2 linked regions of the Drosophila melanogaster genome follow. The protein of the gene in region 1 interacts with the protein of each later gene in a pairwise test. Each region holds a gene or a part of one and is shown on either strand. Other genes may lie near its edges.

Region 1 (6,828 bases):
GCTCGCCTCGCTCACCATCATGGGCCGCCTGCACTGGATCAGCTCGGAGAAGCTGCAGCAGTTCATACTGTCGTGCCAGGACACGGAGACCGGTGGCTTCTCGGACAGAACTGGCAACATGCCGGACATATTCCACACGCTGTTCGGCATCGGCGGACTCTCGCTACTGGGACATTCCGGCCTGAAGGCCATCAACCCAACGCTCTGCATGCCGCAGTACATCATCGACCGGCTGGGCATCAAGCCGCAACTATTGCCGAGGCCATGAGGGGATTCATCGATTCCACATGCAGCCAGTGCGTAGCCAATGTGTAGTGCAGCAGACCTCTGACGTATTCCCACGCTAGCGTTTCTTAGTTTTATTTGTAAAAAGACCAAAATTCCATAGCAGGAACACCCTTTCTTTACTCATTTTCTTCGTTATGCATTTACCCCTCTATTATTATTAAATATAGAATATTTTGTATAGCGAACGAAAATCAGCAATAAACAAATATTTTACTTTAATTCAGATCAGTTAACATTTGATTTATTTGCAAAGATAACTAAACTAACATTTGCATGTGTGAAAAACCGTGTGAAATGTTTGCGGCTAGTAGTCTAGGTCGTTATACATATTAGGTAAATACATATCATTGTGTAAATTTATGTACATGAGGATACGATACGAGTGTAGGGACTAATTAGTTAAGAAGTTGGCAAAAAACTGCATTACAAATATGGCGAATCACACAAAATTGGAATTACAAACTAAACGCTAAGTGTAGTCACCGTGTATGGGTTAGCTCAATTAGAGGCAATTGAAACGAATCTTGCAGAGCACAAACAAATATTAATCGACCACATCATACATATGCTGTGGACAATGTCCGAGTGTGTGTTCTGTGTGTGTGTGGTGTGTGCGGTGTGTGCGGTGTGTTGTGATTGTAGTATACTCGATGCACGTCTAAGGCACTCTATAAACAATTTCAGCTAACAATCCGTTTAAAATTTATGTCTTCAACTACGGACTAATGGAGGAGCATTAGGAATTACTGAATTTCTCGTCGCTAGTCAGAACGTTGTATGCACAGCCGAGGGCCCAGGAGATTTCGTGGCCATCTATCTTCTTGTAAAGCTGCACAATTTAAAACGAGTTACTAGAGAGTTCAATTTGTGTTAAGTGCGCCAGGACTCACCTTAATCTTCTTGCCATCGTTGAGGCCAAATCCTTCGCGCAGCAGCGTCGAGATGAAGGTAAGGTCGAAGCACATGAAGGGCTGCTCATCGTTGGGAATGGCACAGATCTCCTGGGCCTTCTTGCGATAAGCTTCCACCGTGGTCTCGCCGCCAGCCAGTGGATCCACCAGACCCGACTCGATGGCCCGCTCAAAGTAGTAGCTGAACGCGGCCACCGCGTGCTGCTTGAGTGTGAACGGCTTGGGCTTGACCAGCGGCATTACCTTGCTCTTGACCAGCTCCAGGCAGGCATCGAAGTCCACAATGGGCTGCTCGGCACTGGACTTGCCATTCTCCTTGCCGCTGACCTTGTACTGCACATTGCCGTATGTCCACGTGCGATTGGCGATTATGGGATTCACGCAGACGCTCTCCAGCACCGTATCCTCCTTCTTGTAGCCGTGCGTGAAGACAGCATGGCGTGCAGCCATTAGACCCAGTCCCAGATAGCTGTGCGTGAAGACGTTGATCTTCTTGCTGGACGTGACCACCTCGTGCATGTACTTATCGTACACGGGCACCTGGTCCGGATCCGTTGGCGAGAAGGTTACCTGCGTGCTACCGCCGCCCAAGTCCAAGGCAGCTGCCTGGTTCGTCTTGGACAGGCGGCCCAGCAGGAAGTTCACGGTAAACCAGCTGAAGATGCCCTCGTCCGTGCCGTCCATGATCTCCACGGCATCCATATCCACACTAAACTCGGACTTGGCGAAGAGATCTCGGACGGCATTTAGAATGTTTTCCGCCTTGCTGGCGGGCAGGAGTCTCAGGCCGGCGGTCGCTTTCAGAACCAGCGGTGTGGAAGACCAGTGCTCCTTGGGTATGAAGGCGCGGGCCTCGTCCAGCAGCAGTTTGATGGAGTGGGCACCCTCGGCGGGATTATCCGCGAAGGAGCTCAGACCCGGCTTGCGCTCCTTGAACAGCTCCTCGTACAGCACCAGTTTGTTGTCGATGAAGCTGCGATTGAACTTGTAGGCCAGCACACGGCTGCCCGTCGATCCGGCATCGATGATGGCCGCATACTGCACCTTGCTGTAGCCAAACTTGGAGGCCAAACGGGCCAGATACGGACTGGCGTTCTCGGAGACGAAGCCTGCATCGTTGTCAGTCGTTGGTTTATTGGCGATGGGTTTTTTAGTGATAACACGGCGAACGGGTGGCGCAAAATGGGGTTCCACGTGGGCGTAGGGCACGGTAACAGTGGGAAAATCAGAGGTTTTCGTTAGTACAACTTTGGGCACTTCGTCTTTTACATAATACAAATGGTACACACCAAAGACAAAGAGCAGGAGGATGACGGAGATGATCAGGCACAGGAAGGAGATCTTGAGGCCGCTGGGCCCGCGGTTTCCACCACTGCTGGCATTTGGTGATCCGCTACTTTTCCGCCGCGGTGGCTTCTCATCCGTGGCCAGCTGAAAAGGCGAAAGACAAATTAGTTTTGTGACCGACTACTCAGTTATTTGATGGTGTTTTTCTTGGCCAAGTTCATCGGGTCTACCAGCTTATATTCGTATTTCATGGTTCGTTCCGTTGCCTCTGCTGGCTCCACATTTATGCATGGCCGGTTTCTTGGTCGGAACACATTTCAGTTGTTTGCTGCTCAAATATTAACACGCTGGCTGTTTGCTATCTCTGCGAATGTCAATGAATTTCATTTCTTCTCTTGTTTTCGGTCTATTTTACGGGCTTTATCGTTAACATGTGCCAGGGCTGCAGAGTCCGTGGCTCATCGATAACGTTAACCAGGGTTGGGCCACACTTTTGGCAACGGTAATTTAGGGCAGTTGGTAAACAGAAAACCGTTACTTCAAACAAAATAACCTTTTAAAGCGCATTACTTGGATATTTCCACGATTAGTATATATTATTGTTCTACCTAACTTTTCGCTAGTTTATATTAGTTCTTATAAGAACAAACGATAAACACTAAAAATAGTAAAAAATGCGTTTCTATGGCTTTAGCTATGGCTATTATTAATTTTCTTAAAATATAAAGTCATGCCAAATTACACATTTTCGCTGAGGAAGTCAGCGAAGCCAGTGGCCATTCGACTAGAATCTTATCGCGTAGCTTTCTGGGCGATATGACAGTGATAAGACGCAATCAGTTTTCGGGGGCGATTGGCGCGTCTGGGCACCACTGGCAACAATCATAAGTGGGGCAGGCCACGAAGCGATCTTTTAGCTTGATCAAATATTAAAGTTCCCAAACAAACCTGATGAAATTCCCATTGTTTAAACAAATGTTACGCTGTTGGTAAGCGACTGACGCAAAAAAAAAATAGTTAAAGCCAATGAAAAGTAGTCAAACAAAGCACAAATAGCGAGTATATATAATTAAGCAGTAATGGAGTTGACAGGTAGATGGTATATATATCTATATCTATACAATCAAGTACACCCATTAGTTTCGAATACACATACTACTTCCCAATAATTACACTGTTGGCATAAGTGAAACTCATTAAACATTCAGGGTGTGAACTTAACGCATATGTTTCCAGGCGCACGCTACTGCAATCAATAAATCTACTGATAAAAGGCGCCTTTTGTGCCGATCTAGTGACTAAGAAGCCTGCTCCCCATTTATAAAGGGGAATACTTTAATCGGTTCTATAGATAACTCATTTATTTCGAAGCCGAACACTATTTTGCATCAGCTGAAAAGTAAATCTTAAGTCTTAAAGAACCCTAATTGATAAATGTATCTTGAAATATATAAATATGACGCACAAAATGAGTTGAAAGATACAAACATTGAAAGCTGGTAGAAGTGTGCTATCTAGAAAATGCTGATAAGTTTAGACACAGATGTTGTGAAAACAACAAATATCGAGTTAGATACAAAAGTATCTAGTATATATTGTAGTACCGAGTACACGTAGGTACACGAGGGTTAAGGCCACGTTAGCAGCCAGGCACTATCTGCACTCACTTGCAACCGGTTCCGGTTTGCCCGCATCCTGTTCTCCACCCACTTGCGATGCAAATCAGTCGAAACTATGCGATCCAATCGCCCCCGAAATGGGACACTCTATGTGTACCTGTGATCTTTGGGTTCCGATGCGAGAAAGCGATTGCAAAAGTTGTCTAGCGAGATTCGGTCGAAACGGCTGCCAACTGAATCGTTGGACTTTTCTATGCTTTTTTTTTATCAGCCCCCCCTAATGACCTTGCAAATGAGAAAGTTCCTGCTGACTGGTCACCCTAATGCGAATACGAAAATATTTCAAAATAAACCGGCCGGCATTAAGATGTTGATAGAAAACCCACTAGTCATCTCTTTCGTAACTAAAATCAAAATTTGCATAATTGTTAACAAAAGCGTGCTTAGCGGCCATTGCGTATCTATATTTAAATGTCTTGTAAACATACATTTTCAGATACAAATTGGCACAATCGAATAGAATAGAACTTGAAACGATTATTCTGCGAGTCATTTGATGTTTTACTTCCGCGTCAAAAGAGCAGCAATTTGAGGAATTCGCATGTGTGCGTGTGTGTGTGAGAGAGCGCCATGAAATTGGCATTAAATTTGTGCTGTGGATTGCCCTTTTGACCTTTTCCTTACTTTTCTCTTTCGCACATCGGTGTTCGTCATTCTGTCGTCGTTACTTTTCACTTAAATTATGTAAATACGCGAGCGTTTGTTTATTTCGGATCGATTGCTGCCGATCGCCGAGCGGAACGCACTAATGTCGATCTAATCTAATGATGGCCGCGCCCGCCGAATGATAAACTCTGATCAGGAAGCCAACGCGCACGGAATGGCGTCTTGGAATCAACTAAAAACATTTATTTACCACCTGCTCATTTATATGCTGCAGCCCTATCAGCTGTTCGCTGCGGCGCCCACTATCAGCGCATACGGCCACACTGCGGGGGCGGCAGGGATGCCAAAAATTGATGTGGATAACATAGAAATATTTAAAATTGTGAAATTATTCGATTTTGATAAGTATACTTCTTAACGGAATTCTGATAACAGGTGCAGAAATCCAGTGCATAGTACTATAATTGACATATATTAGAGGATTCGTTGTGCCTTAATCCGCTATTTAAATCAATAAGGATTTATCATAGATTCATTCGTAGATTCTTATCATTATTTTGTACCGACAAATAAGATAATTGGATTCAATAGATATTCATTCAAGCTAAGTGTAGATTAGATTATATAGGTATATCATATTTCCCATTAAGATACTTGCCCATTCCAAAATTGGGTTTTCTGGATTAGACATTGAGATAAGAAACCAGTGTTGAAAACCAACACTGAAAACTGCTTATGAATTTTCAAAAACGCTCGGATAAACACATTGCTAGATAAAACTCAGATCGTTAGACAAACCGGTTCCAAAAATCATTCATTAAGTAAGAGAAAATCGAAATTTTTAGCAAATATGCGGTACCGACATTTTCCAGAACTGGACCTATCGTCGCACAGCTGATCGCCCGCCAATCAGCTGGGCGATAGTTGCCGTATCGATAGCCGACCCATCGATAACGATATGTGTATTTTCCTGCTCTCTCTGCACCAACACAAAACACGCAACTAAATTTCGGTTAAAAACCCCTACTAAAAACAATGCAATCGAAACGGAACCATATAAAGTGATTAAATGGCCAACGCGGCGGAGGCGAAATGCGAGCGCAGTGCATTTTCCGGATGAAATCGCGTTTTCGGGGAAACTTACACAAACATTTTTTTCGTAAGCGCTCTCATGTTGTCTCTTTCGCACAGCAGAATTACTAGTTGCTGTGTGTGTGCGTGCGTGCGTTTGTGTGTGCCGTATGCCGTGTGCCAGTGTGTGCGTGCGTGTGAGTGTGAGTGTGAGTGACTTTGACTGCAGTTCGCGTACGTTTTTTATTAATACACCACATAACAACAATCACAACAACAACAAACAGTAATGGAAACTAAACATATTTAATGCGAGGAGACCAGAAATCGTCTAAAACGGCAAGGCTTTATCACCATCGCCACCACCACCAACAGCACAGCAACAACAACAAATTACTACAGCATATATGCTAGTGTGCGTAAACGTATTTGTGTTAAATAATGTTTAAACTGGCATTTCTGATTTCGCACACAAAACAATATTAAGTTGTAGTCACCAGCAGAGAGGAGCAATTGAAGCAAACGAAAAAGAGGTAAGTGCAAAAAGCAGACAATTGTTATAAACAAAATGTGTCAAAAGTTCGTCATGTCGTCGCGCGCTCTCTCTCTCTTTTTTGCTCGTTCTCCCTCTCTCTCTCCGCTCTGTCCTTCTCTCTCCCGCCACGCCGAAAAGAAATTAATTTTGATATTTTTTCCCTGCTTTTTTGTTGCACTCTCTCGCTCTCGCAAACTTTTAATTTTAATTTGCTATGCGCAGCGAATTCGCGCGCAAAGGCAACAAAAAAAGAGGCAATGCAAAGGCAGCAGCAACAACAATACAGGCAAAGTAATAAACGTCAAAATGCCAGACGGACAATTCCTCTCTCATGCGCTCTTTCCGTCGCTGTGTGCGTGCGTGTGTGTGTGTGTGTTTGGGTTTGCTAGCTTTTTGTTTTTATCAATTATTTAGGTAGGTGTTTGCCTTAAAAAGAATAACTGAAACGCAG
Region 2 (8,081 bases), on another chromosome or scaffold:
CTCACCGGCAAGAAGCTGGACGTTCCTGAGGTCACCCAGTCAGAGCAGGGCCAGCACGAGAAGCTCAACATCGTCCTGAAGGCCGTCAACCATGTAAGTAGTAGTAGTTTATGTTTTGCAGGATTTAAAAATCGGAGTTACCAACATTTAATTATTTATCCATTCTTAAAGTCGAATAGAATAATTTTTATTCGATTTACAATTAACATTCCCTTTTCTCGCGATATAAGAATAAATTTTATCCTTGCCCACACCCACAGACACTCGGCTTTCACCAAAAGATTCCCAAGTGGTCGGTGGCCAGCGTGCACTCGAAGAACATTGTGGCCATATTACATCTGCTGGTGGCACTGGTGCGTCACTTCCGGGCGCCCGTTCGCCTGCCAGAGAACGTGTTCGTGACCGTCGTGATTGCGGAGAAGAATGCGGGCGTGCTGAACGCGCAGAAGTTCCAGGAGCAGATAACGTCCGAGTACGACGACCTGGGCATGCGCTGCGAAAAGGACGCCTTCGACACGCTGATCGACTGTGCGCCGGACAAGCTGGCCGTGGTGAAGAAGTCCTTGATCACGTTCGTGAACAAGCACCTGGCCAAGCTGAACTTTGAGATCAGCGATCTGAACACGGACTTTCGCGACGGCGTATACCTGTGCCTGCTGATGGGCCTGCTCGGTGGATTCTTTGTGCCGCTGCACGAGTTCCATTTGACGCCGCAGGACGTGGATCAGATGGTCAGCAACGTGGCCTTCGCCTTCGACCTGATGCAGGACGTGGGCCTGCCCAAACCAAAGGCGCGGCCGGAGGACATCGTGAACATGGACCTCAAGTCCACCCTGCGCGTCCTATACAGCCTGTTCACCATGTTCAGGGACTTCGCCTGAGTGAAACCCGGATGGAACGAGCCAGCGGGTTGCAGGAGCAACAAGCGGCGCCAATTTTACATTTTATATTAACTTTTTGATAGTGTTTACACGCCTAATTTATGTGCGTTCTCGAAACTGATTGTAGGCGATGCAGCGGTTAAAGCTTACTGATCCTAACTCTCAAAACCACAACTAAATGCTGCGTCGCGTATAATCAGCCCAAGGAATGTTTATATATATATATATATATTTATGTGTCGTACGTCTAACCACTGCGATCTGCTCCAGATTCAGATTGCTCGGAACAGGAAGGAGCAGAGCAGAGCAGAGCTAACCCAAACCCAAAATCCGGCGGCCAGTTGTTAACTTGTCTTACTCACGTGCCAGACGTTGTAGTTGTTACTAAGTGAATTTATTGTATTAATACATTATTTGAACACAATAACCGAGATTGTGCCTTTAGATCACACAGAGCTTTTGCAAATTATGTCACAGATCAGATTTTAACGCTGTAAATGTAGAAGTTTACGGAAAAGTCTTAAAAAAAAATTTTATTGTGTACGTTAAAAATTTGGATCAGAAAAATCAATAAATATTGCCAATAGCATATGTGTTATTCTATTTTAAACAGTTCCAAGGCGCAAAATTTATCTGGGGCTGCAGCACTCACAAACGCCAGCTTCCATCCTATTCACATGTAAGTTCTTTCGAGCGTCTCGAATTGATTGAGAAACAAACCTTAGTAATTTTCTGAACGCTGTGCTATTTGAATTGTCGCGGTTGCGCGCGCAACTCGCAACGGTCTGGTATCGATCACAGCTGCGAGCAGGCTGCCAGATCGCTTCCCGTTCGGGAACGATTTCGCATCGATTTTCGATTGCTGGCCGGTATAATTTGAAAATGTTACTTTGCTGACCGGATTTTGGTCCTTGGCCAGATGTTGGCCATGAATCTAAAAGCCAGTATTTAGTAACTTGCGTTGATTGCAGCCGCTTAACTAAGCCGCTTAGCCAGATATGTCCTAATGTTATGTGTTTCGTTTCGAAACAAGGTGGCAACCATGCGCATGCTTTTTATGATTTTCACAATAGCCGAGCGAAGTTTCAAGATTCTAGAACTACCCACCACACCAACGCTTCTGCTGCGCCGCCAGTCCCACAACTACGGCTACGACTACATCAGCCCCACGCACATCGAACTCAGCCGGGAAGCAACTCGCCTGGTAATTCGCCGTCTGCAGCGCACCGTTCTCCGCCTGATCCGTGACCCGGACTTCATCATGTCTGCCGAGGCGAATCCCGAGATGGATAAGGAGCACCACGAGTCCCCATTCGCAGCGAACCGCAAGGCCGGTGCCAGCGGCGCCGGCAAACAGGACTCGAACTGCCGCACCTGCAACGATTTCAAGTCGTGGTCCAAGCAGCAACGCCTCATCTCCAACGTGCAGAGCGCCAAGGTGACGTGATCGCGTTGGCCACTTCGCCTTCGCAAGCAGGACGATAACACAAGAATCTCCCACTTTCATACTCCTCCAGGTGAAGCACATGGCCGCCGCCGAAAAGCTGACCGTCAACGCCGCCGAAGATCCGCTGCCCCGCGACGACTGCCCGCTGGACAAGGTGAGGCTGGGAATTTCCACCTGGGGACTGCTCCACACCATGGCCGCCTTTTACTCGGACAACCCCACGGACACCGAGAAGCGCGACATGAAGACCTTTTTTGAGGTTCTGTCGCGCCTTTACCCCTGCGAGTTTTGCGCCAAGGACTTTCGCACCGAGTAAGTGCATCTTCAATCCATTTGAAAACGCTGACACTTTAGCTGGACCTCTGTTGCAGCCTGGACGTCAACCCCATCAATGTGAACTCCCAAAAGGAGCTAGCACTGTGGCTGTGCAAGTTCCACAACCGAGTGAACGACAAACTGGGCAAACCGCTCTTCGATTGCACCAAGGTGAACGAGAGGTGGCGCGACGGCTGGCTAGACGGCTCCTGCGACTAGGCGCCGCAGCTAACCAGCGCCGAGAAGCCCCGTCTCCCGCCCGTTGCAGGTTGCCATGTTGACCAGACTTTGTCCCACATTTTGCTCGGCTGGCCCACAACTACAACCACGGAACACGGGACTCCTGCTCGGCGGTGTACCGCCGCCAACCCGAAACTGTGCCCTGTTTCTGGCCAGAGGCCATGCCCACCAGTCGGAACCTGCGTCAGCGTGACATTAAATTGAGTTATGTTGTAATAGAGCGACACATCGAAGGTCCATTGTTAAATGATTTGCTGGCTATGAACTCCATTAGAATATACACATTATGTTGAGGACCCGTATTATGCCTTCTCACTGGCCCTGCAGATATCGCAATCTCTAATCTGCCGACTGGCGTTTATTAGATTAGAATGGGGAAGGCAAATGCTTTCCACTTCGATAAGATGGGAGTGGAAAGATCTAAAGCGGAGTTGGAATACAATGCTTAGTTGGTTCGAAATTAGGGGATTTGGCTGATACTTATATAGTTTTTAGATTTCCTTTCTATAATACCTAAAGGACTAAAGGTCTTAAAATTTGTCTGCTCTGGTTATATTTTTTAATATTTAACTTAATTTTTTTTTGCAATCAACGAAACATTAACATTTTATTCATTTAACATTTTAATATGCTTAACATAAGAGATATAAAAATTAGTGGAATTTTCGTAAGAGTAAGCCATTATATGATTTACTTATATAACATGATTGCTCAGCAATAGTTTAGGTAGTTTAAGCGGGGAAATTTAAATTTGGCTAATTTAAAATATTTAATACCTCAAATTTAGATGAACGATATTTTCGATTCATAATTATCGGTGATAACTTGTTCGATAGCTCTTCGTTCAGAAATAGCCAGATTTGGCGGCGAAATAGCTGCCCCCGCAGCGCCGCTGCCCGCACATTGTCGTGGTAGCCAACACTAGCGCACATCGCACTACAGTTAGTTGCCTGCTGGCTTTTGCGCGTCGCACGTATCACTTCGTCAGATTTCTCGATTTGGTCGAGCTGAGTAGAGTGTAATTACCAAACAAAGAAATGCGCCTGGCTCAAATTGAATAAATAAAAGCGCCCGCCGTGTGTGACAATCACTTTGCCCACCCCCTTTGGCCAGAAAAGGAGCGCCACTAGCAGCGGAGGAAGAAGCAGCAGCACCATCACCACCACCAGTTGTAGTACAGGAAGAAGAAGAAGCAGTTGCCCTGAAAGAGAGAGAGGGTGCGAGCGAGAGAGGACGAAGCTAAGACAGGGCTGTTCGACAACCAGGTGTTTACATCCTGCTATCCACCATCTGTGTGTGTGTGCATGTCTGTGTGTTGTGTCGTCATCAAACAGCCGATTAAAATATTGAAATCCGTGCAATAAACAATAGTGTCTGTTCCCCTTTCATACTTACTATTTATTATAATTTTTTTTTTTTAATTTTTTCCTTGTGCAAACCCCCTCCCCCCACGTGCGGTTAATCGAACACTGAAGTGCGAACGCGAAATTGCGAATTGTAAAATTCACAAGGTGCCCAATTTGAAGCCAAACGAGATCCGTAGCCACATCGCAATAGCAGAATGGCCCCGGCTCTAAGCAAATTGGCCAACAACCAGAGCGCCATCGTCGGCGTGGCGGGCATGACGGCGGCCCTCTGGATAATTGCCTACGGAAAGATGTCCAACAAGAAGCGGTAAGCCCCCCCTTGATCTTAATTACGGATAATTGTGGCTCAACCATGTTATTTATGTTGCCTGTGCAATATGCAATATTCTACGAACATCTTATTGCACAAGGTCTCGGTCTTGGCCATCGATGTGTCCGTGATATTGACTTGAGTTTTGGATCGCTGTGTATTTATGTACAAACAGATTTGTTTGCGGGACATACGATGCGATGCCACTATTGTGGGTCATCTGGCGGACTGCAAAAACTGGTTTTCCGATGGCCGTTTCTGCCACACTGTATGCACTTCCCCCTCATTGTAGTCCGGTTTCAATTGATTCGTCCAGCAGCCGCGCACAGTGGGCCGGACAGTTCGTTTGCAGCTCCAAATACTGTTCTTTTCAATTGTGTTACCCATTGCCATAATCTTATAATAAGTTTGGCGACCACCAGCTTACGTTTTGAAGATTCTCAAAAAGATATTTTTAAGTGCAGTCCCAATACAAAAAAAAAGTCAACAGATCATCGATTCATTTAAGTAGATGTGAACCAAAGTAGCTGGATCTGTTTGCAGTCTATCCCTATTATGTAGATATACTGATATCTAGGATAGGTCTGAATGTATATATTGTCTGGGAGGAATGGAGGAATTCCGCGTACTTAGCAGAAGGTAGACTCAGATAGGCACTACATTTCCGGCCAAACAGCAAACTCGATTAGGAAAGCCTTCTCGGCGCCCTCGACTATTATGACCCGAATAGCCACTTCTTGGCGGCCTGCTTCATTGCGGTATCGCTTCAAGGATTTCCCCATCGAGCACCTGCGATGCGGACTTGATTCCCCGGTTAAGGGCCACGTTTCGGTGTTTGAATGGACTTGGTCTTTGCCGCTAATCTAATCGGCAACGCGCCAGTCTACAGCACTTCATCTATATGCCCCATTCCACTATCGCCACTCGTGCCGATTATGCTGTTGTTAACGCGCTCAATATTTGGTCATATTCGATGTGTGCGGGGTTCGGCGCGCAATTGACCGCTATCAGTCGATTTCATCTTATTGAATAAACTGAACGGGTAAAGCGGGCGCAATCGACTATTTGCATGACAGAGCCAATTAATTAGACAGATTGCGGCGGACAAGTGGAGTGGGTGGGTGATTGCATTGCCAGCCAGCCAGCCAGCCAGCCATCCGCATGGGATTGTGGGGGATCTGCCGTGGCTGCATGTGCCACTCGTTAATTGCTAACATTACTCCGAGTACTCGGAGTATGCCGAGCACTCCGATGTTGGATACCCAACCGGTGGCCATCACTTTCAGCAACTTCTCTGAAGTGCACTGCACTTTGGCAGGCGATCGAAATCGAGCATTTTAATGCGCTGTTTACTTTTTTATGCAACTTTTGCGAGCGAGGTAGCCGCCACTTGTGGATGGCCGCTAAATTTATGCACCATTCCATTGTTCGAATTTTGCACAGTGGATGGTGCAGTCGGTTCAATGGATGCAGTGACTGGACACTCCACAGTCCAACCAACCAAATGGGCTTCGCAAGTGGAGCTCCACTTCGATTATGCTTTCATATGAATCAGTGGTTGAATTTTGTGGTTCATTTCATATAATTTCATTTAATTTCATTCATTCTATGATTCACTTTCAAGTCCAAGAGCTAATCGCTGAATGATTAAGAACGTTGAAAGTTTAAAAGGGACTTTTCGAATGTGTCAACGAGTTTCCGAGTAGCAACGCCTCTTGCACAACTTTCAAGGCGCTTTTTTATCGGTGTTTTTTTTATAGCCTCATATCAAGGACAGGCCCTAGAATTGTTAACTGATATGGTACGGTTATGCTAGCTCGTAGCACCGCCAATAATGTCTTTGCAATCTATCAAGGGTTTGGACAATTGGACAACACACCCAAGCTCATTAGTCCAAAGGTCCAAACACTTTGACTTGACATCCAGCAGCCTGCCTTGCAATCGAACACGCAACCACCGGTGGGCAGTTTGCTTTTGGTGTTGCAACAACACTCGATTGTACCCCTTACCCGGACCCAAGTCCGTACCCATACCCACACACACACACACCCATTCCATGGATGACATGATGACACCCGGGTATAAAGCATAAACATTACAGCCGTGCCTTTTAATGACTTGCGTCGTGCCATCCACAACATTGGATGGAGAGAAGCGCAGAGGACCAGTGGCTTCTGGTTTCATTTTTCCATTTCCATTTCCATTCGCATTCCCGTTCCCATTCCCAGCTCTTTGCCTTCGAGATGGGTAATGGGTAATGGGGTATAGGTGTTAATTTGTGTACAACTTGCTCTGTTTTTCGCAGGTAGACACATTCTGTATCGCCCGGCCCGTCCCGCCGGCTGTTGCGCAATAGCTTGTGTGGCTGTGCGCGCTCCAGACTTTCGGATGGGGAAGTGGAAGAGTCGGATGGATGGAGAGACCTTGTGCCCGGGAAACGCTTGGCCCTCGATAATCGGATTGCCCCGCAAGGCAGCCATTTATCGTGTAATTTGTATAATTCTCGCCTTTACTCGGACGGTGCGTGAAATGAGATCGTAATTTCAATGCAGATTCGCAGCCGAGCTCTGACATTTGCACCTGTTGCGGATGCCACGTTGCCAAGGCCTGTATGTCTGTCTGTCTGCCTGCCTGCCTACCGCTCACTCACTTACTCACTCACTCACTCACTCACTTACTCGCTCGCTCACTTGCTCACTCGCTCTCACTTCTGAGACATCGCAAGCGGAGTGGAGTGAGCGTGTGAGTGCCGGCAGACTGACTACGGGTCTTGAGGTCTACAGGTAACAGCCAAGGCAACAGGTGATGAGTATGCCCGAGCTGTGTCGAGCTATCTGATTTTGGCCAGCGTTTATCAGACAAACTAGCTCGATAGCGGCTGCTATGCGGCACAAGAACCACTGAACTTTGATTGCAATCCGCGGCAATGTCTCTATCTGAGTCAGACGCCAACCGATCTTCTCGCGCCCGGGTTCAATGTGCCCCCCATTAGGCGATCGCCGGCGATTAGCGAAAGAGAGCTTTGGATGAATCGCAGGGGCAGGCGATTTCGGAATGGGAATGGGAATGGGAATGGGTATGGGTATGGCAATGGGAGCCACCGGTGTTGACCTATGGACCCAAACACATGTTCCACGTCTAGGCGGTGAAAACAAGTTTAATATACTACGAATCAAAAAAGGAAAACCACACGAGAGACAGCCAGACACACAGACGGATTGAAAGATAGATAGATGGAAACATATATATATATATATATATATATATATATAGAAATAAATACAAGAGCGCTATGAATAATTCAGTGATCTGCGCAGCGATATTTAAGAAATAACCAAGTCATCACGACTCGTCGCTTTTTCCAGCCTGCAGATAACCAAGGCGCGAGCTTTGTACTTTGTTTGGCCTAACATACCAGTAGCACCAGCACCAGCACCAGCACCAGCACCAGCAACACCAGCACCTCACATCTCATCACCCACATTATCCCATAGACTTCGAACCCTGGGCAGGTGGCGATT

What was found.
Region 2: the proteins of NTPase (region 1) and Abcd3 interact in a two-hybrid assay, tested with the Drosophila melanogaster proteins (one large-scale study listed by BioGRID).

What each region holds. Positions count from the first base shown.
Region 1 is NT_033779.5:2,880,204-2,887,031, forward strand, and holds NTPase (NTPase), read right to left. Parts: upstream 5,012-6,828; 5' UTR 4,820-5,011; coding exon 4,790-4,819; intron 2,924-4,789; exon of another isoform or gene 2,738-2,923; coding exon of another isoform or gene 2,717-2,737; exon of another isoform or gene 2,631-2,716; coding exon 1,179-2,630; intron 1,118-1,178; coding exon 1,025-1,117; 3' UTR 501-1,024; downstream 1-500. Other genes in the region: RabGGTb (Rab geranylgeranyltransferase subunit beta), read left to right, coding at 1-268.
Region 2 is NC_004354.4:19,746,990-19,755,070, forward strand, and holds the start of Abcd3 (ATP binding cassette subfamily D member 3), read left to right. Parts: upstream 1-3,780; 5' UTR 3,781-4,148; exon of another isoform or gene 4,149-4,358; 5' UTR 4,359-4,444; coding exon 4,445-4,557; intron 4,558-7,881; exon of another isoform or gene 7,882-8,081. Other genes in the region: parvin, read left to right, coding at 1-93, 261-881; Alr (augmenter of liver regeneration), read left to right, coding at 1,924-2,319, 2,399-2,640, 2,700-2,862.